Rattus norvegicus: one gene and its partners. The protein of the gene in region 2 interacts with the protein of the main gene of each other region in a pairwise test. Links are inferred from orthologs where the notes say so. Each region holds a gene or a part of one and is shown on either strand. Other genes may lie near its edges.

Region 1 (3,500 bases), on a different chromosome or scaffold from region 2:
TTTTCAGGGGGCAGGGTCTTATTCTACAGCTCAGGCTGGCCTTGAACCCCCTATGTAGCCCATGCTGGCTTTAAATGAAGGGCAATCTTCCTGCCTTAGCCTTCCAAGTGCTGGGATGAGACACTACACTCAGCCAGAATTATATTTTTCACTCAGGTAGCAAATACTGTCAGTTTTTTCAACAAAGTAATAAAGTTTCTGTGTTTATTTCTGAGGGAATGCTTGCCAAATAACCATGTTGAAATAATCATCACTTGTGTGTCAGCTACTTCATTAAGTAAAATAGTACTCTATAAAAACTGGCTAGTCTAATTAGTAATACCAGTAGTCTGCCTCAAGATAATCACAGTGGCTCCCTGTGGCGCAGCACAAGAGCTTCACATTTCCTCATTAACACTACACATCTAGGGGATGTGTACTTAGGGTAGAAATATAATAAAATATTACAGCTCCATCAAGGATGCTCCTAAATGGAGATGGCTTTTTAACTGAGGAGTGCATGGGAGTAAACCCAACTAGTTCAGGTCAGTGTCACCATCTCCATCTGTGTTGGCCCCGGCAGCACGCGCTGCTTTTATGTCATCAGTGCATATGTCCAAGAATCTTGGGGCTCTCACGCCATGCTCCAAAAGCCATGGGTGGAATCAAAAGGTAAAAGCCGTAAGATAAGAAAGGTTACGGTACATACTTTTAGTGAAACAAATATATAAAATACTAAATATATAATTCATCTATGATAAAGTGGTTTAAAAAGCTCTACCTCAGGGAACACACACACAAAAAAAAACTTGCCAAGAAAGACATGGATTCAGTCCCCAGTACCACAGCAACACAAAAACACAATCACACACACACAGAGCTATAGCGGTGGTGTTTTCTCTAGGGACTAGAAATAATGGACTTTCTGGTTGTCAGTAGTTTTTATTTTTTCCAACTAGAAAAGCACTAATAATTAACCAAGCACATTAATAAGTATCGGAGCTGGGGACCGAACCCAGGGCCTTGCACTTCCTAGGCAAGCGCTCTACCACTGAGCTAAATCCCCAACCCCAGTAGAACAGAAATTTAAGAGAGAGATTAAACAGAAAACTGATTCACCCTCTAGTAACTTGAAGTTCGCAGGCAAATTAAAGAAGCCACACTCGGTGGCTGGAGGTGGTTGTCCTTTAGGACACTCTAACCAACCAGCCACCCAGCCACCCCCTTTCCTTTCCTCTTTCCCACTTCAGGTCCTTCTCTGATCACCCTGCCCCAGTTCCCTGATAAAAGTTTATTTGTGACAGAAAAAAAAAAAAAAAAAAAAAAGCCGCACTTCACGCTACTAACTACCTTGATTTTGGTTTTACTTTCCCTTGAGACAGAGTGTCATGTAGCCAAGGTTGGCCTTGACCTATTACTGACCCTCCTTTTGCCACCTCAGAGTGCTGGCTGGGATTACAAGTGTGCACCACCACACCTGTTTGATTTCTAAATTCAAACCTATTCTCTTACACAGTACAATCCGGATGCAAAGCATTACTCCCACACTCGGCATCTAGCTTAATTAGAAATAAACACATATCCTATTTCTCAGTTAATAAGCCATTAAAGAATGCCAGGAGCACTAAACAGAGAAAGCTGCACCCCTTGGTTATAATACCTGATTTTTGGTTCCGGTCAATGAGGGGGAGAGTGCTATCATCATATGAATGGCTGCTCTGGCTTCTAGATGCATTGTTTAGATTCACCTAGAGACAAACATAAAACCCAGTGTCATAGAAACCTGGAGAGATTCCTGGCCCCTTCTCCTAACCATGTACCTCCCACTTCAGGAACCCTGAAAGAGCATGGGTTTCCTTCCCCATGCTCACCTGCCTTAGCCCTCACACATTCTTCCTGAAGGGCTTAGATGCTAGGTGCCTACTGACAGTAACTCCTCAGAAAAGACTGAGTCTAGGCAGTAGTGCATACCTACACTGCTAGTACTTGGAGGACAGAGCTAGAGGGAGCAGAGAACAGTAAGCACATGAAGGGTCTGAGTAGACAGGAAGCTCACAGTGGCCATACATTATCACTGCTCTCTACCAACAGCATCTACTGTATGTTCAACACTGAGAGAGAAGAACTACTTCAGCAAAAATAAACTGTGAGCACCACAGTTTATAATAAACTGGATTAAAAAGTAGTGTGGCAAGTCTTTACAATCTAACCAAAGACAGAGGCACTAGCCAAGGAACAAAAGAGAAGAAAAGTCAAAGCTTCAGTCGAGAGTTATTGCACCTGGAAGTCTGATTTCTTCCACCCCTCTTTTTCCAGTGGCTTCCGAAGCTCCTTATAGCCCCAGATTGTCTGCAGGACAAGAGCTGCTGCCCGGACTTCTTTTTCTGAGCGATTCCTATGAAGGAAAGTAACACCATACAAAGTTTAGTTTTCAGACCAGGGATCTCAGAACTTTTACTCTCTAACAAAGTGGTTTTCAACCTTCCTAATGCTGCATATAGTTAGTTCCTCACGTTATGGTGACCCCAGACATAAAATTATATTTATAGCTACTTCATAACTTGACACCCACAGGTTGAAAACTACTGCTCTAACAGCACAAGGATATAAAAATGTAAAAATGGGTGAAGCCAAATTTCACCAACTCTTATACTGTATGAAACACTGACATAAACTACTTTGATGTAACAGTCCATACCAATTTACAGACCGACACTAAGAATGAAAATAGAGCAATATCTCTCCACATGTTATAGGAAGAAGTAATCTCACAGAATGGAAGAGAAAAGTTATTTTCTAAAAACTCTTCTTCAAACTCAAATTCTCTTAGCTGTGATTAAGAAAAAGCTCACCCTGATTTGTTGATCAACACCAGCTTCTCAATACCCTGGGTCTCTCGAAGCTTTTTGGCGGCTTCCAAGTTCTCAGCAATAACTTCGTTGATGGTGTTCAATATAGAGACCACGGTGTCTTCAGAGAAATTCCAGGAGGAGTTCTGTTGACCTCCTGGCAGATTCTTTACCAAGTTAGGAATAGCATGTTTGCCTATAGCAGTAAAACAAAAGGTCAGAAGGAGCCTCACAATACACTTGAGAGTAGTAATCAGGCCAAGTGTTAAGTTCTAGTCATACAAATTAACTCCATTATTACTAAGATTATTTCAAAGGGGGCAAGAACATGAGACAGCCATAAACTCACTGCCATTCATCTATTTCCTCAAGAGCACACAGACAATGAGATGCTGGATATCAAATATAGTCTGGTCTTTCCAGACACAGTAATGAAAACAGTACATTCAGTACTATCTTATGATAATCTGTGGGGCAAAGCATTCTTTATGAATTTAAAAAAATTCAACTACTTGGGCTCTGCCACTAACTAGTTCAATTCTGGGCAAATGAAAAAAAAAAAAAAAAGAAAAGAAAAGAAAAATTCTTAACAATGCCTAGAGATAGAGAAAACAGATATTCAACAAATAATAATGGTTATAATGTTTTGGAAGAATCATCACTTCTTGCTTT
Region 2 (3,500 bases):
TTCCACTGATATCGTGGAATATTTAACAAGTCAAAGCACCGCACACACGGGATATACATCGCTGCCCATAAACTCCTTTAGATAGACACTTCCGATACTAAGCATACTGTTACTTTTGCTTCCTGCCTTTGCTCTCAGATTCTCGGGAATGCTCTCTTTCTGGGGTTAGCACCCTGTGTCAAGCGGCCGCACAGGAGCCTTGTGCTTAGTTTTAAGCACTTAAGTTCAGGGATGACTAGTTCCTGAGGTGACTCTCGAAAGACTGGGGCTTGACCTGGAAGAAAGAGCCCAGGCAGACCCTGACTCCTTGGCTTCTCTGGGCATATGTTCGAGGAGAATTGCCAGTAAGTGATGGTGGTGGTTCTCCTACCCCAAACCTCTCACTTTCCTGAAAACAGGCTGTGAGGAGAGATGATTCATGAAGCAGGGAAATGGGAATAAAGCATGACTAGGAGGAGGACCTGCCAAACAGTGCTTTAAGCTTTGTTCTTTAACTCCTCAGCTTCTGTTCTCTTTCTTTTGTCCTGTCTCAGCTGGCTCACTCCTCAGGCTGGTGTCAAGAAGATTCCTACAAATACACACCACTTCTATGTGTGTGTCCATCCATCACATGTGACTATTTATGCCCAGCTGTGCTCTGACCTCACCCATCGGTCCCAGCTCTGTCTCCCTGCCCTCCCCGAGTGCACACATCCTATGGTTTGGGATTCCATTCTCTCTTAATCTGACCAACTCTCATCCAGACTCATACCTGCAGAATCTTATAAGCTCTGCTTTCTGGGTCTCGGATATGAACTATGCTTGGAGAAAGTCACCCTCCCATGCTTTTCCTCCATGGCGCTCCTGAAATATTTATTTACCCTGGGCTGACATAGTGCTCACTAAAACTGCATTTATTTCTATGTATTCAAACAGCTCTGCCTGTATGATTATATCATCTTTAGACAGTTTCCCTGAATAAAGAGACAAATATTTAATGTGTGGCATTGTGGAACCACAGATATTCGTTCAATAAACATGACTGGGGAGCTGAGTGGTGGATAGGTGGACAGATACTAGTATTGACTTACAGTGGGTTTGGATGTTGCCTAGAAAGCATGTTCTTGATTTCTAGGAAAACTATAAATATAGTAAATGAAATGACATGAAGCCATTGATTCAGCCCTCCAGTTTAGCCAAGGTTAAAGATAAGTGAATGAGAAACTGTCTTTTCCTTGAAGAAATCTAAAAAACAATAGTACTTACATTTTTTAAAAGTTGTGATTCACACTTTTCACAGAATGATTAGTAATAACTGGCACACAGTGTTCAGGAAACTTTGGTGGCCCAGAAAAACTAAATTATGACCCATTGCTTTCGCTGTCACACACAATACAATTTTTCTTCTCCTCCCCCTTTTAGTGGTCAGTTTTCTCTGGCGGTTGTCGGCCTGAACATAACATCGCTGGGGTTGCGTTCCCTCAAGGAGATCAGTGATGGGGATGTGATTATTTCTGGGAACCGAAATTTGTGCTACGCAAACACTATAAACTGGAAAAAACTCTTCGGGACGCCCAATCAAAAGACCAAAATCATGAACAACAGAGCTGAAAAGGACTGCAGTAAGTTTCTGTCCCATCTCGCCTACACAGGGAGTTCCCAGAGGTGGTTTGTTTTGGGAAGAAACACTGAAGAGGTTCTCCCCAAATGTTCTAATGGCTCTTTTTCATTCCCTCGTTGAATTAAAATCCGCGGGGTTCGTAACTGTAGCATCAGCATCCAAATCACTTCTGGAATGCTCTCATCTCATAGGGTGAATTTGCCTTGTGTGGCTTCAGTGTGAAAAGCCCTCCCAGGCTCATGAGTCTGAGTCCCTAACTGTGCTCTTTGGAAAGGTTGTGGGACCTTTACAAGGTGAATCTTCCCTAGAGGGAGTCCAGCTTGAGGGCTCCACATCCTGTGTATTCTCTGCTTCCTATTGTGTCAGTGAGATCACATGTTCCTTCTTATGTCCATTGGCATGCTTTCCCTGCCATGATTGACCGAACCCCTTCTTAAACTGTAAATCAGAACGACCCCGTCTCTCCTTAGGTTGCTCTTGTCCGGTATTTGGTTGCAGTAATGAGAAAAGCAGTAAAGAAAATCAATGCCAAGCAGGGGAGCCTTGGCTTTGATGGATTTGAGGATGTGGTTCTTAGACCTTTGGGGCTAGCTTGTGGGAGGAATGTTCCCCACAAAGTTTGGAACTTTGAGAAAGCTCAAGAATTTTGTAAGCACTGCTCAAAAGGCCATCCTGGTGGGAGTTTGGAAAACCATAATGCTGACAGAAATATGAACGGTAGAAACCTGCTTCATCAGATTTCAGAGGAGAACAAAGACACTATTAGAAAATGAGCTAGAGGCCATTTGTGATGTATTATGGTAATGAATCTGACTGCATTCTGCCTATGTCCTGAGAATGTAGGTCATTAGAAAGCAATGACCTAATTTGATTGGTGGAGGATATCTCAAAACAGAAAGAATAACACTCAGGCTGTACCATGGCTCCTACTCACTGCTCTTATCCAGGTCTACAGCATGCTGGAGAAGAAAGTGGACAGTGACATAGGACAGTGTGCAGTTTGTTAGGCAAAGGAGAGAATTTAAAGTTGTACGTAGATCAGGTGCTGAGGAAGCAATTATAACAGTAAAGATATTAACACGTTAAAAAGAAGCCTTGTGTAATCACACGGGGACAATAGAAAAAAAAGCGCCCTGAGGGTAAGACCCCACCCACCAAAAGGTGCATCTTGTGGGAACATACATTCACTTGAAAGAAGAGCACCAAGACTGAGAATTCTGCTGAAGAGATTGCCTGCTTCTGGAGGCCAGGGTAGATCTTTAACTGGCCACTGAAATGGGCAGCCTCATCCACAGGGTACTGGTTTCATACACATGAAAGATACAAGGATGAAGGGGGCCATGCAAGCCTTTGGCAAGATTACAGAAAGCCAGTCAAGCCAGGTGCTCTTTGGCAGGCTTAGGGTGGTGGAATGAGGCTGTGTGAGCCTATAAAGATGGACTTGAGTTGCCATGGACACGCTAGGATTTTAAAGATGACAGGACAATGGAATGCCTGCTAAGGAAGACTGCAGGTGTGGCATAGAGCAGGCCAAACAGCTACCTCTTCCACACTGCAAGGGACAGACCTGGAAGGACAGAATTACAAAGACATGGATAATTCTTCAGTAGTTCTGCTGGGTCTCAGTTTTGCTTTGATCCAGACTCTCTGCTGTGTACTGATTCTACTCATTGAGTGGGAATGTTTACCATGTGCCATTTTTTCCATTTTTTTTAATCTTTATTAACTTGAGTATTTCTTATTTACATTTCGAGTGTTATTCCCTTTCCCAGGTTCCGGGCCAACATCCCCCTAACCCGTACCCCTCCCCTTCTATATAGTTATTCCCCTCCCCATCCTCCCCCCATTACCACCCTCCCCCCAACAATCTAGTTCACTGGGGGTTCAGTCTTAGCAGGAC
Region 3 (3,931 bases), on a different chromosome or scaffold from region 2:
AAATAGGTGAGGAAAATCTGAAAGGCTTCCCAGAGAAGGGTGCATGCTAGCTGAGGCTGGCAGTATCACTTAGGCATTCACCAGAAAAGAAAGAGACAAAAGAATTCATTCAGACACAGGACACCCCATTTGTGAAGTGGCATACCCAGAAGACTGACAGGACACCCCAGAAGCCAGGCAAAGGTGTCAAAAGGGGGCCCTGCAGTACCGCATCTCAAGCCCCCATTGCTTCCTTTCATGGACGAAGGAAATGATGTTCAAAGCCACTGACTGGGCAGATGGTAGGTGGTAGGGATGGAATTCAAACCGATAGGTAGAACAAGCAGCTCTGAGCAGATCTCTCCATGCCCTCATCCCCACAACCAGTGACTGTGTGAGGTTGGGTGACAAAGGGGAATTTACACTCCAAGTGGAGTTGCAGTGCCCATCTACTGACCTTAATATAGGGATCCTGTCCTAGATGACTATTGTGAGATGGGCCCAGAGTGGTTCTCAGGATGATTAAATGGAGCAGAGGTAGGAGGAAGAGGTTTCGGCAATATGGAGCAAGCAAAACTTGGCCTGCAGTTTTGGGGGTTGAAGATGGAGAAAAAGAGTAAAGATTGAGGACACCAGGGTGTCCCTCAGGAGGTAGGATAGTCCTAGAGGCAGTATCCCCTAGAGACCTGCCAGAAAGGAACACAGTCCCACAGTCACCATGATTGTCACTCAACCAGACACATTTCAGACTTCTAAACTAGAGAATTGTAAGGTAACCCCATGGTGCTTTGAGCCACTAAGCCTGTGGGAATCCCTAATAAAACAATGGGAAACTTACATACAAGCTGAGCTCCACTGAATCCTGGACCCCATCTCTTACTCCCTTGTCTACATGACTTAACTGTTGCAGAGGCTAATCCAGGAGCTTTAAGAATTAAAATGGAACTCCTCTTATAAGTCTAAATTTCTTCAACCCTCATTTCCAAACCATGTAACTAAGGGTACGCATGTGCCTCTTAGCTCGGTGAATTTTGAAAGGATGTGGTCGTGGCCTTTGACATCAGAGAAGGGAGCTCAGCGGTGAGGCTGGCTGATGCTGATAGAAAAGATAAGGCTAGAGGCAAGTTGCCTTTGAACGACTCTCTAAAGATCAACTGCATCCTGTCGCGTTCCCAGCCGTTCCTCTCCTTCAGTCGAACTCAGGGGTGATGCCCGAGGCGCCTCACCTTTCAGAACTGGACCATGAACAACTTCATCCTCCTGGAAGAACAGCTGATCAAGAAGTCCCAACAGAAGAGAAGGACTTCTCCCTCGAATTTTAAAGTCCGTTTCTTCGTCTTAACGAAAGCCAGCCTGGCATACTTCGAGGACCGCCACGGGGTATGAGAACACTTACTTTGTGCTTTGTTTATTTGCCATTCTGTGTTTGGACTGAGTTGATTCATGGGATAAACTTGGACGCCTGGAATATAGGCACAGTGTGCTTAGCAGCCACAAAAGAGACTGTACCAAATGCAGAGAGTCCTGAGACTCCAGTTGTTTAGACTTGGCTATCTCAGTTCTACAACCTGTAGGTTTGACCTTCATCCATTTCTCTTCTCCACGCGGTCATGTTTAATTTTTTTAAGCATAGAAATATCTTACATGGTGAATGTTGTGGACAGAGCTTTATGCAAAAGTGAAGTATATGGCATTTACAGTCTGTAGGGCGGTAAAATATTCATTATTGTTGGTGATTAGTACATAAGGGGCAGCCTAGCCCAACCTCCCTGTCTTACAAAAGAAATGCTTCTTAGAGTGGTGAACGGGAGGTCCCATGTTAGGTTTTTATGACTTGAACTCTCTTCGTCTCAGTGGTCATCAGTCCCCCGAGGCCATGGGATCATGCTTCCATTCATGTAATATTCTAAAGTTGTAGGGCACATGGTAACCCTCTTCATGGCAGAACATCTCAGGAGACAAAGGGTGTAGAACCCAAAGTTTCTGCCAGCAGACCAGGGATCCCTGCTAGAGGGTCTCTGGCTACTCAGCTAGTTGTATCTAATGACATCTTCATGAACAGAAGCAACAACAAAAGCAAATGAGTGTGTGTGAGTAATACAGTGTGATAGAAGCACTGGGTGGTGCCAGGAGCTCAGCCCTAGGTGAAGTCTTTTCTGAAGCAGCCAAGGGCCAAGAGCATCAGCAGGGGCAAGACTTGGTCTTGCAAGAGAATAGGGTTGCTTTCTAAAGTAGCCTATGTCCATCTTGACAACATTGTTACTCTGAGACTACAGAAGCTACAGGCCTCTGGATCTATTGACACTTGTTGCTTACAGTGAGGGGGATTAGGTAAAGGATTATTGCTATAGCACCGTTCTCTGACCTGATATATACATTCACACATATATTTACATTTCATTCACATTCCTATTTACACATTAACACATTCACGTTTTTGTTGGACCCAATCACCTGTCTCAGACACTCCACAAGTATTCATGCATGCTTACATACACACATATACTTACACACATACATATAGACAAACATATACATTTGGATAGATGGGTGGATGGAGCAGAGCCCTCCAAGCTAAACTATCCAACTAACCACTTTATTTCTTTTCTCTGGCTTTTTTTTATACTTTCTCAGACAAAAAGTTCTTTTAGAAAATTGCCTCAGAGATAAAATGTTACATAAAATGGGAGTTTCAGAAGAATGCTGACATTTAAGTTCAAAGGAATGTTTCATTCGATGAGCTCCTTATAAGTTCAAAGCAACAGTTTTTACATGGCCTTGCCTTATCATAGTGCACACCTGTGGTTGTATCCTTGGACCTACATGTTTTTCCTTGAACACGAAATCTGTCCCAAGTTTATTTCTCTTTTTAGTGTAATTCTAAAAGCTCATTGTATTTCTTATTATGCAGCCTATACTTACTATTCTGCGGAGTGGGAACATTCTATTCTTGATTCTAATCTTACTACAAGTTTCTAGCAAAACAAGTAAGACCATCTCTTCAAACTTTCTTCCTAACATTATTTTATTCAAATCAGGAATTCTATAGAATCACTCATTCATCTAAACAGCATTAATTCATGAGAGTTCACCTTTATGTTGATCCGCAGGAAATCTGATCAATAGGGTGGGCTAATGCCTAGAGACTATCAATTGAATAATGACAGGAAAGGCATATCAACTGCAAGAAGCAATCCTGAGATGAAGTCTCTTTGGGACCCTGCCATCCAGCTCACCCATTGCACATCATGCAACAAAACAGCGGCCCACCTCTGGGAATGCCACCTGATAGCCTTAGCCTAACCTAGATGGCTCCTGACAGGGTCGGAGTCAAGTAGTCCCTGTGTCAGTGAGTCGCCCTGGGCAAATATCCTTCTCCGTCAGACTTAACCTTCGTAAGTACACAGACTAGACATCAATCCCAAGTCCCACTCTTTCTTTTAGAACCTTTTTGTTTGTACACAGTGGCTCTTGGTTAATCCTCCTCAAGTACTTTTCAACGCTTGTTTGATTTCTTGTCATATCACTGTAGTATGTTTACATCTTTTGAGAGGCAGGGCAAAGATGGGTTTTAGCTTGGTGCTCACCAAGGCAAGGATGCTTCTGTTCCTTGCTGGTGTCTCACTAGATCCACGTGAGGATTTTCATCAACTTGGAGCAAATCACTTGGAGGGGGTAAAATGCCTCACCTTTTAAGTTTCAGGTAAAATAATGCCGCCTCTCTGTACTTTTGCAGTGAAGAGAACCACTTGTCTTCAGCAGGGTCTCACTGATAGCTTACTAATAGATTAGAGGCAGATAGAATGACATACATTTAGGTCCCATTGGTCAGCGGCCAGGTGCCGAGCTGTGGGCCTGAAGGATTAATAAATCACCTGTCATCAACTCTGTTTCTGTGAATGGAACATGAAATTCGTGTTTCACAATGAAAGCAAAGCACCTTTAAATAACT
Region 4 (3,171 bases), on a different chromosome or scaffold from region 2:
CCAGGGTGTTGAGGTGTGAGTGGGTGGGTGTGAATGGGAGCACATTCATAGAAACAGGTGGAGGAGGGATGGGGAATGGGAAAGGTACTTCCTGAGTTCTTCCTTACACACACACACACACACACACACACACACACACACACACACACACACACACATGTGTACATGCAATAAATTAAGCAGGTTCTTCCACAGCCTGCCTTGGATATGCTAATATGTCTTATGAATATGTAAAAGGGCTGTAGTCGCTATCCCTCACACCTTTCAGTTCCAATGAAGTGTTTCTCAGTGCTCCCACAGCTCTGAGCAGGACTGTATATCAAGCTGGCTGTGGGCAATGGCACTGGAGAATTCCTCCTGCAGGAGAGAGTTCCATCTCTAACACTTCCCAATTCTTCAAGATAGTGTTAAGACTTTACATTCTAGTTCATTTTGTCAGCTGTTATTTCATGTTCATGCTCCTGATACGCATGATTTTGTTACTAAAGTGAAACAGGAAAAAGGTTTTGCAATGAGATAATGTTTTATTTTATTTTAATTTCCACCATTTATATACAAACACAAGTTAATAAAACACGTCACAAAACTGTAAAATTCATAAATTAATATTTATAGGTGCATAGTCTCATGCTCACATATTTTAAAATATATATTAACAAATTTCACAGCACATCATTCTTCTTAGACAGAAAGAATCATTAAGGACATCTAAAAGTCTTATAGCAAATCACAACTTCTTGAGAACAGCAACAAAAAACGGTGAAGAGTTAGAAATAAGTGGTAGTCACTTAGGTGTTTTAAGTTTCTTCTAACATTTTAGGTTTGAAGCCACAACAATATCCACAGCACACAAGAGCCTGCTACCATGTATTCACTGTAGTGAGAGGGGAGCACCGGGATGCTGAGGGGCAGGTACAGGACTCCGATCACTGCTGATGGAAGACTTTGAAATACACTGTACAGCTTTGAGAAAAGGTCATGACTGGGCACGTTGGAACTGAGCACTTGTACGCCATGGAAGAACACCTGGGCAGATCTTAGGACAGTGGGTACAACGACATTCTTAGGCTTCAGGCTCATAGTCTTGGTAGCCTTCCTAATATCAGGAAAAAAATAAGAGCATGCCTTGTCAGTGAAGTGACAGTTATCAACTGTCTGCTTCACAGGAGGGAGGGCTCAGCCTTTCAATCAGATAAAATTGATCCTCAGCTCAGTGTTTGGGGCTTATCTGTCATGAACATGTATTGGTTTTTCCATACGTAGCATCTGTACGTTATAGGGGTCATCACAGATTATTAGGCCTAATTCTAGATATATCCTTTGATCTGTGATTTCGTGCTGCAGTATGAATTGGCTGGGGCTCTGATTTTCTCCTTTGCTCTGCGTTGTGAGCCGTGAACACCTAGGTGAGCTGCATAAAGCCTCCTCCAGAGCTCATCCTTCTCCTTTCTCCCCCATTAGGAAACCCCACCTTCATGAGAGGTTTCCACACAGGCTCATTTATTCTAAAGCCTGAGCCTCCTGGACAAAATCTAGGTAACATTCATAACAGGAATGGTACTTCCTCAATTAATTGATTATATCAGGATTCTACTGTTAAACTAAACCTATTATCAAACTCTTTTTCAAATGTCAATATAAACTTAAATGACAAAGTTAATTTGGGACTCTACAGTTTGTCTATAACCTTAATTATGTCTTCAGCCTTAATCTATCATATTTTATGTTTTCTAAACATGATTCATAACTGCCCATTGTTGCTCAGGCATTTTCATATGCCTTTGTTTCTGGTAACCTCTTGTGCTAGAATGTTCTAAAATGTTCTTCCTTTGACCTGCCATATCCCTTACTCTCTTCCACAAAGATTAAAATCATTTTCTCAAAACCCTTTTTATGATTGAACTACCCAAACCATAATATGAGGGAGATGTGATAGTGGCTGAGTGTTGCACATAGGCATTTACCTCTGAAGGTACCTAAGAAAATACCTAAGGGTATTTTTCTTGGTTTTCTGTTTGTAAGCATTTACCTCTGAAGGCATTTCATAAGCCTCACTGCTAGGGTCCACAGGCATGTCTTCCAGGATTCCCTCTTGTGGGTACCCTTCTTCACCCTACAGACAGGGAAGTGAAAGCACAGTAAGATAGTGTTTTCACTACTGAAGCATAACTTGAAAAAAAATTATGTCAGGTATACCTTCAAGGCGCTACAAGAAGTGTTCTCAGAAGTGCATTCTTCAGAATTACCGAGCCAAACTGTACCAAACCACCAGAGAAAAACATCATGCAAACATGGGTTACCAATCTGAAGCTTTCAAAGCTTTTGCCCAAGTAACTCATTACCCAGGAAGTTGCAAAGCAAAAGACCCTAAGTTCTCTCCATGAGCACAATGTTATAGTAGCAATGATTTGTAGTGAACTGGTAATGATGAATCAAATAATGGCAAAATATTCTATTTTTTTCTGAAATCATGATAATTCTCTAATAGGGACGACTTAATTTTGGTGTAATGTTTAACAGGACATTGTTTGTGGACAGAATCCACACAACACTTGAATCCGAAAGTAAAAATGTTCCAAGAAAGTGGAACTAATATACAGACACATCATTATGGTTTTCCCTAAATTTGTTAAGGCAAAGTCCATGTGTTTTGTAATTCATTGTTTTATTTTATTTTATGTGTAGGGATATTTGCCCTGTGTGTAGGTCTGTGCACTATGCATGTGTGGTGAAAACAGAGGGCAGAAGAAAGCATCACATTCCCAGAAGCTTGAGCTGTAGACAATTGTGATTCTCCATACAGATGCTAGAACATAAACTTGGGTCCCCTGGAAGAAAAACATATGCTCTTAATGACTAAGCTATATTTCTGGCTCCAATAAATTCATTTATAAATGCTCCCAAAGAAATAGTTCTCTTTGGAAATCTGGAAATTATACATACTTGAAGTTAAAAAAGAAGCCAAAGATTAGATTGGACAAAATTTCAGATTATCTCTCCACAGTGCTGACATCATAGCATTCAGTCTGACATGATGTGCCTTCTTTGTTTTCTCCATCAAAGGCCTTTTTGTTCTTTCCCGTTTGTTCCACCAAAGTAATTACTGAATGATAGAGTTCAGCAAATATTCAAAGAACAGAGATGTAACTGGAGCCTAAATGGGCTAATTTG
Region 5 (3,931 bases), on a different chromosome or scaffold from region 2:
AAGAAATTCTTATCTCAAAAACACTAAAAATAAAATAAAATAGATTTTAGAAATCATTTAAAGAAGCAATGAGAAGCCACCACAGAAAGCAGGAATGAAGATTAAGTCAGGATTTCAGAACTTCAAATTGAATCAAATAGAGAAATCTATCCCAAGATTAAAGCCAGTGGCATCCCAAAATGTCCCTCTTCACCCTGGGTCCCCCCTCCAAACTCTAAAGGCCTTGCTTAGCCAGTTGAAATATGCCTCCTTTTTGTGCAAAAGATACAAGAACAAAGAGAAAGGAAGACACAGGCTTGAACAGGCTGCAGGTGGTATGGGGGCAGGGCGAGTAAGAAATGTGAAGGTGAGAACTAGGGAAGTTGAGGGAGATGATGAGTCTTAAATTGTCAGAGAACCTTGGGTCCAGCTTGCTCAAGAGAATGTGAAGTCCACACAGGTCCAAGAAAAGACCCTCGCACATGACGGTGGCAAACCTGGACTTAGAACCCCTGCCTCATCCGCTTGTTAACTCAGTGTGCGTCCCTAACCCAACTCCTGGCTTAGAGAGTCTCCCACCCCTTTTCTTCCTTCTCTCTTGGGTCAAGATTTGTATCACAAGCTAAGAGTTAGGTAAATAGGCTGGAGACACTGAGCAAGCGACTTCTCTGAGATTTTAACTAATCATAAATTGATCAGGGAGACTTTAACTTTTTCCCAGATGCCTTTGCGTTTCTCTGGATGGAGGGATGTGAAGACAGGTTTTTTTTTTTTTTCTTGAGGCCAGTAGCCTCTTGGACCATATCCAAAATCAGAAGTTTTCTTATGCAAATGCGAGCGTTGAGGGCAGGCGGGTTTTGTTAAAACTGAAACATAAAGGACCATGCATGTTTCGGTGAACCTCCTGCATTTTGGTTCGACTCTAGCAGCAAGAAAACAAAACCACACAATCTAAGGCTCACGCCCAGCTCTGCGCAGCAGGGTGTCTGCTAGTTCCTGTGTGGTTTGCCTGCAGACTGCAGACGGGCTGGGGGTAGCTTGGAGGGAGAGCAAGAGGCAGGGAGGAGGAAGCTGTATTGATGGATCTGGGGCTTGTGCCCTGCTTCCGTGTGGTGCTCAGAAGCCAGCTCAAGACAGACCTGTAGGCTGAGGCGGCGCGGTAAACTTGACATTTGAGTGCATCTTCCCACCGGCAAAAGACGAACCTAATAACTCGTTGTCAAAGCCGAGATACACACTCAACTCAGGCTCTTCGCTTCCCAAAGGTATGTCATGCACCGTGGGTGCACACCCTCTGGAAACCTTGAGCGCTTTAAAGATTCTGCTCTCTATAAGCCAAATCTAATGAAAGCTGGCCCTACTGGTTTTTCTAAACTTCAGCTCAACCGTCTAGGTTTCTCATCTCGCTGACTTACGTTAGCGGGGATTGGATTCAACTTCTGTCAAATGAACTAGAGAAAACTTGGTCTTTACTCGACTCACAGAAAAGAAAAACAGCCTTTCCACTAACTGGCTTCAGAGCCGTCTCTGGAAAAGACTTTGGAGGTTGAGGTCCCAGAGATCTCTCTTCAATAGTGAGGTTGAGGAGCAGGAGGTAGCAGCAGGGGTTTGAGCATCCGTGAATAGAACTCTGAGGCCAGGAGCTCTCTCTCTCTTGCTCAATTTCTTCACCAACTCAAACTGCTAGTTCTGGTGGCATTTGCTGTCTTTAAGAACACTGGTTTGGGTGCCTTTAATAAGAGGAAACTTCACGCGGGAAGGTATGAGGAGAGGGTGTTGTCTATCTTTGTCTCTTTATTAATAGTTATGCGGCGTCTTTAAGGCCGTCTCTCGTCTCTGCTCCTGTTCCCATCTGCTTCAGGACACGAGGAAGGAACGAACTCAAAGACCAGGTTTTCACTAACTTAACCATGACCGCATCCACTCACCTCAAAGGCAGCCTTGTTAATCCGGCATATGTACCAATTCGTATGTCATCAGAAGTGCACACCCAGAGGCAAATTAAAGGGGGCTACTTGGCACCTAAAGCACCACAGGGATAAAGCAGTTATAAGCACACGTTGTCGGCAGCCGAGAAACGTCAGTGGAAGAGTCTTGCGTATGGGCACGTTTATTATAAACTGTTACTTTGTTATCCGGTCCCATCTTCATTTTTGGTTTCAGAAAGAACGTTTGGTTTAATTTGGTCTCTTCTAGTGAGTGACTCAACATGACCTACAAAGTTTGATATTCATAGTATAATGTTAGAGAGGTCCTCTTGAAAAAGCAGCCACTTTTAAGTAGCGTCTTCCCACCCCACCCCCACCCCCAAGACAGGGTTTCTCTGTGTAGCCCTGGCTGTCCTGGAACTCGCTCTCACTCTGTAGAGCAGGCTGGCCTCGAACTCACAGAGCTCCTCCTGCAAGTAGTATATTTCAATGCCAAGTTCTAAAAACTTCTGACTTATCCCCTTTTTGAGATTTTTTTGTGTTTTGTGTTTTGTAAAAGGAGGTAGCCCCACATCACTGAAGAAAATGCCCTATTAAACTCAACTCAGAGAGTCTCCCACATAGTAAACTGTAATCTTATTCTCCCTAAATTGTAATGGCTTTTGTCTTTTTAAAAATGACTTTACTGAAGCTGAGGGGAAAGAGGTGACCGATCTATTCAATATGAAGAAATGCCTTTGCTTCTAATAGTAGCTTCCATGTCTTAGACCTTCAGTTGTTTTATACCTGCCTCATAGGGACACTGTAAGAATACAAGAGTTAACATAAATACCATGTACCTTAGGGAAAGGCACTGTGAAAACTCATGATGGGAGTATTATTATTTCTCTAAATCTTAACCATTTTCCTTCCCATCTCTTGTACCAAACGCGTCTCTCTTGCTGCCCAGAGCCTGCTCTTTTGGAACCACTGCCTTCTGGAAGAGCTGCCAGTGATTTCCATGGGTCTGTTGATTCCCAGTGATTTCCATGGGTCTGTTGATTCCCAGTGATTTCCATGTCTGTTAATTCCCAAAGAACAGCACCTGCTGGTGTTGGCAGCTTAAAGAGCTCAGGCCTGAACTTGAGCAAAGTGTGCCCCTCTTCCTGGCTCTAAAAAAGTCTATAATTGTTCACAAATATGTCATTAAGCGCGATTCCATCGGGGTTTCTTTACTGAGCAACAGTTGCCGCCGGGTCAATCCAAGAGGCAGAATCTTGGAGCTGCCGTGAAGCAAGCTCAAACCCTGTTGAAGTGGGGCAGCCAGGTAGTTCGGTAAGGAAAGATGCAAATCCAACACCGTGAGTTCAGTCCCTGGGACACACACGGAAGAAAGAAAGAAAGAAAGAAAGAAAGAAAGAAAGAAAGAAAGAAAGAAAGAAGCAAGCCCTACAAGGTGTTCTCTGACATAGCATCCATGCCGTAGCATATGATGCACACGTAAAGAATAAATAATATAAAATCATAGTAAGCAAATATTTTTAAAAGTTCAAGGGTAGTCACAGTGTAGTTATTGAACCAAAGGGTAGGGTAGGTGAGCCTCGTGTTGTACAACTGAAGTCTTCACTCCGCACATCTCCATACAAAGAGGCACCTCAATTCCATGTGCATCTGCCTGTTTTCTTCATTGTTATATTTTTATAGCATTGGAGAATTTTCAGGAAATCACAGCTCCGTTCAACAGACATTTCACTAACATTTATTGAGCAACTGCTTTGTGCCAATACTTGCACTTGGGCGCCAAGGTCTCTAACCAAGTTCACAATGGGTTCCAAGAGACTCGAGCCAATAAGAATTCAGTAAATAACGTTTTAAAGTCGTTTTCTTTTTAGGTATACGAGCACAGTCCAGAGTTTTAGAGAATTTAATAAAACTACAGCAGGATCCACAACGATAGAGACCATCTTTGCTCTTCGAAGATGTTAAGCATGCATCTCATGAAGAAAGTGAGTTTACGTACAGATTTAAGCAGGGCCTGGAGGCCC
Region 6 (4,271 bases), on a different chromosome or scaffold from region 2:
CAGCAGGGGCAGAGTGGAGGGGCTGTGGGACAGGCAGGTTGAGGCTGAGGAGCACCTACCTTGGCCATGTACTCTGTGACGATGTAGAGCCCACCCTTCTCCTCCACAATCACACCCAGTAGCTGGACTAGGTTGCTGTGCCGAAGCTGCCTGTGGCAGGACAGGGTGGTCAAGAGTTCAGCTTGCCCATCCCCCGCCACACTCCACCCAGGCGGCCTGCTCTTATGTCCAGCCCAACTCACGTCATGACAGAGGCTTCAGCCAGGAAGGCCTGGGCTGTAGCATCATTCTTAATGCACTTGACTGCAACTTTGTTGCCTCGGTAATCCCCCAGCATCACATCTGTGGGAGAAGCAGGGGTTGTTTCCTGGACTCTTGGGGCTCCCCCACCTCATCCCCCCACCCCCACTCCCTCAACTCACCTCCAAACTCCCCCTTTCCTATCGTCTGTAGCAGCTTCAGTTCCTTCATGTTCAGGGCCCAGCCACCTGGGGACAGGGACCAGGAGGGAGGCGGTGTGTCAGGGAAGTGAACAGCTAATCTGAAGCACTTGAGATGATAGGCACAGGCTAAACTGTTTTAGATGTGGGTGTCTGGGGTTTCCAAGCCTCTAGGGTAAGGGCAGAGGGCCCGGGTGAGGGGAAGTGGGCAAGTGGGAGATCGGAGACATTGTGCACTCACTGCGGTAGAATTCATCTTGGGCCGCCACTGTGCCCTCCATGACCTTTGGTTTGATGAGGCGAGTGCAGAGTCCGTCGGCATCTGTGGTGTAGTGCTGCAGAGGTGGGGCAGGCCCTCAGAACCAGACCTACTGGGCCCCATTTCTCATTGACCCACGCACTGTTCAGGTCTGACCACCAGAGGGCAGCAGAGGCCATTCCACACAACCTTGAGCTGCTTTGTGCGGAGAGGGTTCCTCATTTCGAGAAGGGTATAATGCCTGTCCATTTCCCACATCGCCCTATCCACACTCAGCTCCTGGACTCCCAACTGCCACTACTGCTTTGGGCCTCACCAATATCTCAAGGTAGATAGCAAAACCTGCCTGCTCCCTATACCAGCCTCTACCAGGTGTACTCAGGGCCAATGTAAGCCAGAGATGAGAACGAGCTTGGAGGGAACCTATAGGTATCTGATGCCAGATATGGCCTGGCCAGAGCTGGGTGGAGCTGCTGTTGGAAGCATCAAGGACCTGTGAGTCTCAAGGATCCTGACGGCAGTGTGCAACCCAGAGGCTCTGAGTGCTGGAAGAAGTGAGTTCCGGATCACACGAGTGCTTCCCCTGCACAGATGAGGGGACCTTCACTGATCTGAACCTTTGTGTCCTTATCTATAAAATGGGGATACCACCCTATTTGTGGGCCTTTGGGGACAGAACTGAGCTCTCTCACACAGGTGGTGCTCCACACATGTGAGGAACCTCAGACTCAAAGAAGCCATCAACATGTCCAGGTCACCCTGCCAGGTGAGCTGGGTCTGGGTTTGTCCTAAGTGTCCTCAGGTAGACTCAGGCGCGAGTGTACGAGAAGGGGGCTCACCCCGGGCAGGCATGTTCCCCACTCACCTCCACCAGCTGCATGAGGTTCTCGAAGTACACCTCCTCATCAATGCTCAGCTTGCTCGCGTGATACATGATGCGGTAGTGCTCCACCTTGCCTTCACAGCTCACACACAGTGTGTAGTCCCCAGGGTAGTTGGTGCTTTCCCGCACCAGGAACAGGCCTGTCTCTGGTGGGTAGAGAAGCCGCTCCGCCTGCTCCCGTGTGATCTTGCCGTGGAACCAGCTACGGGTGGCAAGGCTGGGCGTCACCAGGGTGCTGACCCGGAAGCTTCCGCCAGCCTCCTGCACACACCTTCCCAGAACTCCCAATCTAAGGGCGTCATCTTCTTCCTGTACCCCTTTTTTCCTTCTGCATCCATTAGCTCCAGCCTCTGGCCCCATCCCTAGAACGCCCTCACCTCACAGCCCTAACTCAGGGCTGTTTTGCTCTGATGCCTTTCCAGGAGGACCACTGCCATTTCCTCTTTCCCCCAAACCAGGAGACTGCAGCCCTCCGTCCTCTTGGTACTCACGGCATAAGGCTGAGCTTGGTGCCTGCCTTCACACCCTCACGCTTCTGGACATAGTTGGCTGGGATGATGCCCTCACGGCCCACTTTGTTTTTGGCTTTGTACCAGTTGGGGTCCTGGAGAGAGAACAACACAGACACACTCTGAGGCCTGCCTCCCTCGGCCAAGCAACCAAACCCAGAAGAAACCCCTGGAGGTGATGGGACAGGCATCGTAGGTCCCAAGTACCTTGGTGACAGCCACAATGGTGAGCACATCTCCTTTGCAGAAGGGAAGGTCTTGCTCGGCAGTGCCATGGAAGTTGTACTTGGCAATACATTCTGTACCGGATGGCCAGGAGGCCTAGAGGATAAGGGACAGGTGTCGGTGCAGCCTGGGGAGCTTCTCTACCAACCTGCCCGAATGCCCCTGAGACCAAAGCATCTTAGCTAACCTCCATGAACCTGGGGAGATAACTTCTCCAGAGAGTTCTCAGCCCTTCTAGCTCAAATTCCTCTGTAGCCCTCTCTGGGGCCCTGTGCCCGACAGAGCACACTGGAATTAGTGTTACTTCACACAAAGTCCTGACTGGGATGGAGGGTTGGGCATGGTTGGAACAAGCTGCTCTTAGTACCTATTCTTTGTCTGGCCTGGGGAGGGCAAGACATGGGACCACAGCCTCACGATACCTGTATAGCCGACATCTTCTGAGATCTGGCGTCCCCGTGCTACAGGAAGGCCGGTCTGTTACTTGGTACCATTAGAGCTGCGGGAAAAGAATCAAGTTGAAGATGAGATGACCCCCACCCTGACTGTGATCATCACTTCTTCCTTAAAGGAGTGCAAGCCGTGGTCCGTGACATGTGGGTCCTGGGCTGTTCTAACCAGCCTCAGGTAGACACACACAGACCTAAGAGTCCCAGAGGGGTGCCTACCAGTCCTTACAGGCCCCACAGAATGACCAAGAAGGCCAACGAGGCCGGGAAGACTAGAGGGGAGGAAGTCCAGGGAAACTCTGAAACCGGGCAGGTGCTATGTGGTCCAGGAAAGCTTGTCCTGAGGCCTCTATACAGACAAATGTCTGTGTTTCCTTCTCAGCACACACCCAACAGAAAAGAGCCCGTGTCTACCAGGAGGGGCAGGTGCTCTCCCTGGTGTGCTTTATAGTAACTGGCAGATCAGGAACTGCCCAAGTGCTGAAAATAAAGTAGACAAGGTAGGGAGAAGTCACACAAGGCAGGCAGGGCCCTTCTGTGATCACACGGTTAGATGGCAGGCCCACCTGAGATGGGACAGGTGAGGTCTAGCCTTTACTTTATAGCTATGTATACTACGAATGGAAGAGGACTTTCAGCGTGAGTGCTGTTATATATGAGCAAGTGCATGCACACCTGCACGCACACACATATGCAGGAAGCACAGAAGCTGAGCCCTTAAGACTTCAAAAGGTAGAGGATGGGAGCCAGGGATTGACCTTAGTGAATGGTGGTTCCCTGGAATGCTCAACAAGGCTCTAGGTTCAAACTCTAGTACAAGGTATGGATCTGTACGTTTTAAATCCATGAGCAATCAAGCAAATAAATATTTGTTAGAAAAGCAGAGGGAAGAGGGTGAGGCAGAGGGATGGCTAGTTGGAGGCCAGCCTAAGCTATATGGTTAAAAACTTGTTTTAAAAGAAAATGGCCAGAAAAAATGACATAGAGAAGCTTAGGATATTAGGATATTAGCTTCTATTAGATATTAGGATATTAGCTTCTATTAGATATTAGGATATTAGCTTCTATTAGATACATGCACACAAAACACCAACACACATAAAAATGAATGAATGAATGAATGAATGAAGGAAGGGAGGGAGGGAGGGAGGGAGGGAGGAAGGAAGGAAGGAAGGAAGGAAGGAAGGAAGGAAGGAAGGAAGGAAGGAAGAACTGGCCTGGGTAGAAGCTGATGAAGCAAGGCTGAATCAATCTGGGCCTCTGTGACCCTCGACTTGCTGAGCCTATCCCAAGCACCCTTGTCTGTCTGCCGTATGAGAAGGGCTCCAGTGGCCCTGGCATGAACACTGTAGGGTAGCAAGGAGCTTCCCTGTGAAGCGCTATGGTTGGACTCTGAGGGGGATACGCTTGGGGAACTTCTTCAGGGAGCACACACTCCCAGAGTCCTCCAGAAGCAAGGGTAGAGAGAGCAGGGGAAAGTAACTCCTGAGCAGGACTCCTGGTTCT
Region 7 (4,120 bases), on a different chromosome or scaffold from region 2:
CCCTCAAGTGGTGATTTCAGTCTCTGCAGGCTGAGAGCTGCACCCTTCACTCAGCCTGTCCCAGTCCTCACCATGGGCACTGGTGCCAGGCCCGCCTTCTGCAACCCAGCCTTCACTCGCTTGGCCACATCACGGATGTAAGGCAGTGCAAACTTGCTGAAGAGCTCGGAGCCAAGATGTCCTGCGTGGGACTCAAAGAGCTGCAATGCCTGTAAATAGGTGATAAGAAAAACACACAAAGAGGAAGCACCTCAGGCTCCACATACACGTGATGGCGTAATTCTCCTCAGGTGACTTTAAACCCTGACACATTCCCCGAGGCTAGGAGCTCAATTCCAGTCAACAAGTTTTGCCTTAAAGAAAAAAATAGAAGCCAGCAGTGGTTGTGCACACCAGCCAAAGATACACAAGAGAAACAAACAAACAAAAAAAAAGAAAAGAAGGAAGGAAGAAAGGGAAGAGAGACAGACAGGTAGTGGCACACACGACTTTAACCCCAGCACTTGGTTAAGAGACAGAAGCAGGTGGATCCAAAAAAAAAAAAAAAAAGTTTTACCTTCTCCAGATCCTAACAGCAACTTTACATTGCAAATACTCAGACCTTAAAGTCTGGCTGACAGCTTCAGGAAGGGCTAAGGATCTAAATGGTTCTCAACCTGTGGGTCACAACCCCTTTGGGGTGGATTGACCCTTTCACAAAGATCAGATATCCTACAAATCAGATGTTTACGATTCACAACAGAGCAAAGTTACAGCTATGAAGTAGCAACAAAGTAATTTTACAGTTGGGGTCACCACACCGTGAGGAACTGTATTAAAGGGTGACAGTATCAGGAAGATTGAGAACCACTTAGATACTCTAACCAGATCACTGGAGGAAAAGTAACACCCCTCATTTCTCCAGTTTAGGAAACCATTGCCTTGGATCCTCATAGACCAAGCTGCAACCTATTTGTCCCTAAGACTCACCTGAGCACCAGCAGCTACTTGTCCTATTAGATATGGGACCAGAGCATCAGTGAGTATGCCAAGCAGCTTGTGACTGGCCAGTGGCTTCTGATAGAGCCATCGCTTGGCCTGAGCCATGGTACTTGAACTGCCGCCTTCAACCATGTACGTCATCAGGGTCCACTGCAGAAAGATGCAGATGGCAGGACATAGAATTCTTTGTCTATTCCAGACCTAGCCTGATCTCTTCATGCTCCCGTCCACACCCCTGTGCCACATTACCGGAGCACCAGCAAAGCCAATCAGTGGCACACGTCCAGCCAGCTGTTGTCGGGTAAGGGTGATGGCTTGGAACACATAGCCTAACTCTGAAGCCACTGCTGCTGGATCCCGTAGACGCTCTAAGTCCCGCTCTTCTCTTAATGGCTCTGGAAAGCTGGGTCCTTTGCCAGGTACCATGGTCACCTCCATGCCCAGTGCCTTAAGGGGGATAAAATATCTGGGTACACAACCTGGAACTCAGAGGGAAGGGTTCTGTTCAACACATGCAACAAAGAAAAGGCTGAACCCCCTGTAAACTCCATTCCTAGTGTTTTCCTCTTCCCACTTCTGAAATTATCTTGAAACCTGATAGGACAGAGGATTTGCAATAAGTGCATTCCTCTCTCCCCCTTTTTTAAAGCCCACATTCCAGGATTAGGATTGAGTACCTGGGGTACAACAAGGATGTCAGAGAAAATTATAGCAGCATCCAGAGGAAACCTTCGCAGTGGCTGCAGGGAATAGCAAATAGGTTAGTAAGGCCACCCACTGAGGGCATAAACCCCACCCTCATTTGTGAGGCCCTCACCTGCAGAGTCAGTTCACAGCAAGCCTCAGGAGATCGACAGGTGCTGAAGAAGTCCTGGGCAGCCCTGGTTTCCCTAAACTCTACAAGAGGAGATGGAGAACAGGACTCAACCATGAGGTCTTCCAAAGTTACCATCTTCCCCTGAAGAATTTCACCAACTAGATTTTCAGGTTTTATCTAGACCACACCTTTACCCCTGACCTGGTAAGTAGCGGCCTGCTTGTCTCATGCACCAAACAGGAGTATAGTCTGTTTCCTCTCCCCAGGCTGCTCTCAAGAACGTGTCATTCTTCAGCTCCGGGAAATTCTGGAGTCTGCGGATGAGATGGAATGTACAGGTAGGAGTAAATGTCATTATGCTAGACCGTGGTTTGGGGAAGGCGTGGGTTCAGTCAGGCCGCTATCTGCCTCCTCCAGGCCTGCTTGCAAACCATGGCTCCCCACCCACAGCTCCTCCCCTCTATCAAGTTGCACACAAGTTTCCAGGAGAAGGGCCCCACTAGGGCCTCTTTCCTACACATTTGTCCACTTTCCCAAACTCAAAGAAACTGGAGGTACTAGGGAAGTGGAAAGAAAATCCAGTAAGGAAGTTTGGGGAAAGGGAGTTAATTTCAGGCAAGCTTCTGAAGCTGAGGTCCCCAAACCAAGAGAGAAAGGATCAAAGCTGATGGTCCCAGGTGCTAGTTAGTTCTGAGTCACCTAGAAAGGAAGTCTTGGAATGCAGTCCCGCAAAGTAGTCCGTGGAATGGAGATTGCGGGAAGAGGGGGGGGGGGGGGGCAGGGAACGAAAAGGTTCCGTTCCATGATTGGAAGATATGGAATCTCCGCGACTTGGGTTGGTGCTTGGAGATCTCCAGAAAAATAAGAGTTTAAGGACATATCCCTGAATTGGAAGACTCGGATCGGAAAGCAACGTAGCTACAGCGCGTGCAACAGAAAACTCACCCCAAGCCGTTCGCCTCCATGGTAAACAGTAACTGAGCGGTCACCGCTTTAATCTGAGTCTCCGCCCCTACAGTCCAGGCCCCGCCCCTTCCTGAAGAGAACCACGGGCGGCGCCATATTGAGAACCACGTGACCAGACCAGTGACAGCTGTGGGGCTGCCTTCCCCGCTGCCCGTAGGACCCCATCAATTTTTCACCGTAAAGTCCACTGTGGCGACGCAGTAACAAATGACCCAAAGGAAAATTTAAACTTTTCTCATCTGTGGTCTAGAAATACTGAAGACTTAGCACAGGCCTCGCTCTCACTCCCGTTCATAAGTCTAACAATGTTGTTTGGCAAATGAACGGTGCAGAAGGTTGTAAAGGAGCCGAAGATTTTAGAGTCCACATGTACATTACTAACCAATTTGTAGGAATGATAGAGTGCTGCTCAAGACAGGGACTGCTCTACCAATCGTTTAAACCAAAACTTGACAATCACATTTAAGTGGGCAATGATTATTAGTCTTCTGGAATTAGAAGCAACAAATAGCGTCCATCCAGAGTGATTTATACATTTCTGTCAGTGACTGAACATTTAGTCAGTCATGCGCCCCCTAAGACAGATAGTTGAGCAATTTTTATGAGATTTCTCAAGTCTGGTGTGGTAGCTCACGCTTTTAATCCCAGCAGTCGGATGGTAGAGGTGCGAGGATCTTTTAAGTTTGAGGTCAATCTGGTCTACAAAGTGAGTTCCAGTACAATCAAAGCTACACAGAGAAACCCTGTCTCAACAAAACAGTACAACACAACAAAAAGATTCCTTCAAATGTAATGTTTGTTAGGGACAGGGAGAGAAAAACATGAGGCCAAAGCATCAGAGTAGATGGAATAAAGGCTTGAACAAGGGTAGTAGCACTAGCTCTAGTTAGAGGATCGCGAGCTCGAGATCAGCCTGGGCTACATAATGAGACCTTACCTTAAGAATCTAGTTTTGAGTCTGATTTGATAAGCCAGGGTCAGGGCGGAAGGGGTGGTGAGGGGAGCGAGTCACAAAATAGGGACTATCAGAGTACACCTGACAAATTTGGTAGCAATAGGTTGTGCATTTAATCCAAAACATACGGTAAAGTAGGGTGTGAGGTGGGGCAGGGTGTGGTGGGAAGCTCTGCTTGCAGTCCCCGGGCTGCGGCGGGGCAGGGTTTCCCTGGACGAGTCTCACTTCACGGGCTTCACTATGGCCGGCCCGGGCCCCGGCGCAGCGCTTGAGTCCCCGCGACAGCTCCTGGGTCGCGTGCGCTTCCTGGCCGAGGCGGCGCGGAGCCTCCGGGCCGGGCTGCCACTGCCTGCGGCGCTGGCTTTCGTGCCGCGAGAGGTGCTCTACAAGCTTTACAAGGA

The links.
Region 1: the proteins of Egfr (region 2) and Ctnnd1 interact in binary tests that used the Homo sapiens proteins (3 or more experiments, as listed by UniProt). The link is inferred for Rattus norvegicus from reciprocal best matches to the Homo sapiens genes EGFR and CTNND1.
Region 3: the proteins of Egfr (region 2) and Itk interact in a protein complementation assay, tested with the Homo sapiens proteins (3 studies listed by BioGRID and IntAct, with this or other methods). The link is inferred for Rattus norvegicus from reciprocal best matches to the Homo sapiens genes EGFR and ITK.
Region 4: the proteins of Egfr (region 2) and Snca interact in a protein complementation assay, tested with the Homo sapiens proteins (3 studies listed by BioGRID and IntAct, with this or other methods). The link is inferred for Rattus norvegicus from reciprocal best matches to the Homo sapiens genes EGFR and SNCA.
Region 5: the proteins of Egfr (region 2) and Grap2 interact in binary tests that used the Homo sapiens proteins (3 or more experiments, as listed by UniProt). The link is inferred for Rattus norvegicus from reciprocal best matches to the Homo sapiens genes EGFR and GRAP2.
Region 6: the proteins of Egfr (region 2) and Csk interact in a protein complementation assay, tested with the Homo sapiens proteins (3 studies listed by BioGRID and IntAct, with this or other methods). The link is inferred for Rattus norvegicus from reciprocal best matches to the Homo sapiens genes EGFR and CSK.
Region 7: the proteins of Egfr (region 2) and Urod interact in a protein complementation assay, tested with the Homo sapiens proteins (2 studies listed by BioGRID and IntAct). The link is inferred for Rattus norvegicus from reciprocal best matches to the Homo sapiens genes EGFR and UROD.

What each region holds. Positions count from the first base shown.
Region 1 is NC_086021.1:90,096,190-90,099,689, forward strand, and holds part of Ctnnd1 (catenin delta-1), read right to left. Parts: intron 3,025-3,500; coding exon 2,832-3,024; intron 2,375-2,831; coding exon 2,260-2,374; intron 1,728-2,259; coding exon 1,640-1,727; intron 1-1,639. UniProt on the Homo sapiens protein: Key regulator of cell-cell adhesion that associates with and regulates the cell adhesion properties of both C-, E- and N-cadherins, being critical for their surface stability.
Region 2 is NC_086032.1:95,504,126-95,507,625, forward strand, and holds part of Egfr (epidermal growth factor receptor isoform 1 precursor), read left to right. Parts: intron 1-1,401; coding exon 1,402-1,601; intron 1,602-3,500. UniProt on the Homo sapiens protein: Receptor tyrosine kinase binding ligands of the EGF family and activating several signaling cascades to convert extracellular cues into appropriate cellular responses.
Region 3 is NC_086028.1:31,313,205-31,317,135, reverse strand, and holds the start of Itk (tyrosine-protein kinase ITK/TSK), read left to right. Parts: upstream 1-1,131; 5' UTR 1,132-1,221; coding exon 1,222-1,359; intron 1,360-3,931. UniProt on the Homo sapiens protein: Tyrosine kinase that plays an essential role in regulation of the adaptive immune response. Regulates the development, function and differentiation of conventional T-cells and nonconventional NKT-cells.
Region 4 is NC_086022.1:91,025,974-91,029,144, forward strand, and holds the end of Snca (alpha-synuclein), read right to left. Parts: intron 2,114-3,171; coding exon 2,030-2,113; intron 1,097-2,029; coding exon 1,064-1,096; 3' UTR 501-1,063; downstream 1-500. UniProt on the Homo sapiens protein: Neuronal protein that plays several roles in synaptic activity such as regulation of synaptic vesicle trafficking and subsequent neurotransmitter release.
Region 5 is NC_086025.1:113,996,225-114,000,155, forward strand, and holds the start of Grap2 (GRB2-related adapter protein 2), read left to right. Parts: upstream 1-1,131; 5' UTR 1,132-1,244; intron 1,245-3,931. UniProt on the Homo sapiens protein: Interacts with SLP-76 to regulate NF-AT activation. Binds to tyrosine-phosphorylated shc.
Region 6 is NC_086026.1:66,927,475-66,931,745, forward strand, and holds the start of Csk (tyrosine-protein kinase CSK), read right to left. Parts: upstream 2,801-4,271; 5' UTR 2,754-2,800; coding exon 2,739-2,753; intron 2,413-2,738; coding exon 2,299-2,412; intron 2,187-2,298; coding exon 2,074-2,186; intron 1,785-2,073; coding exon 1,565-1,784; intron 776-1,564; coding exon 682-775; intron 489-681; coding exon 423-488; intron 343-422; coding exon 243-342; intron 151-242; coding exon 60-150; intron 1-59. UniProt on the Homo sapiens protein: Non-receptor tyrosine-protein kinase that plays an important role in the regulation of cell growth, differentiation, migration and immune response.
Region 7 is NC_086023.1:135,702,581-135,706,700, forward strand, and holds the start of Urod (uroporphyrinogen decarboxylase), read right to left. Parts: upstream 2,801-4,120; 5' UTR 2,764-2,800; coding exon 2,744-2,763; intron 2,113-2,743; coding exon 2,000-2,112; intron 1,879-1,999; coding exon 1,799-1,878; intron 1,722-1,798; coding exon 1,659-1,721; intron 1,461-1,658; exon of another isoform or gene 1,429-1,460; coding exon 1,231-1,428; intron 1,132-1,230; coding exon 970-1,131; intron 210-969; coding exon 72-209; intron 1-71. Other genes in the region: E3 ubiquitin-protein ligase HECTD3, read left to right, coding at 3,960-4,120. UniProt on the Homo sapiens protein: Catalyzes the sequential decarboxylation of the four acetate side chains of uroporphyrinogen to form coproporphyrinogen and participates in the fifth step in the heme biosynthetic pathway.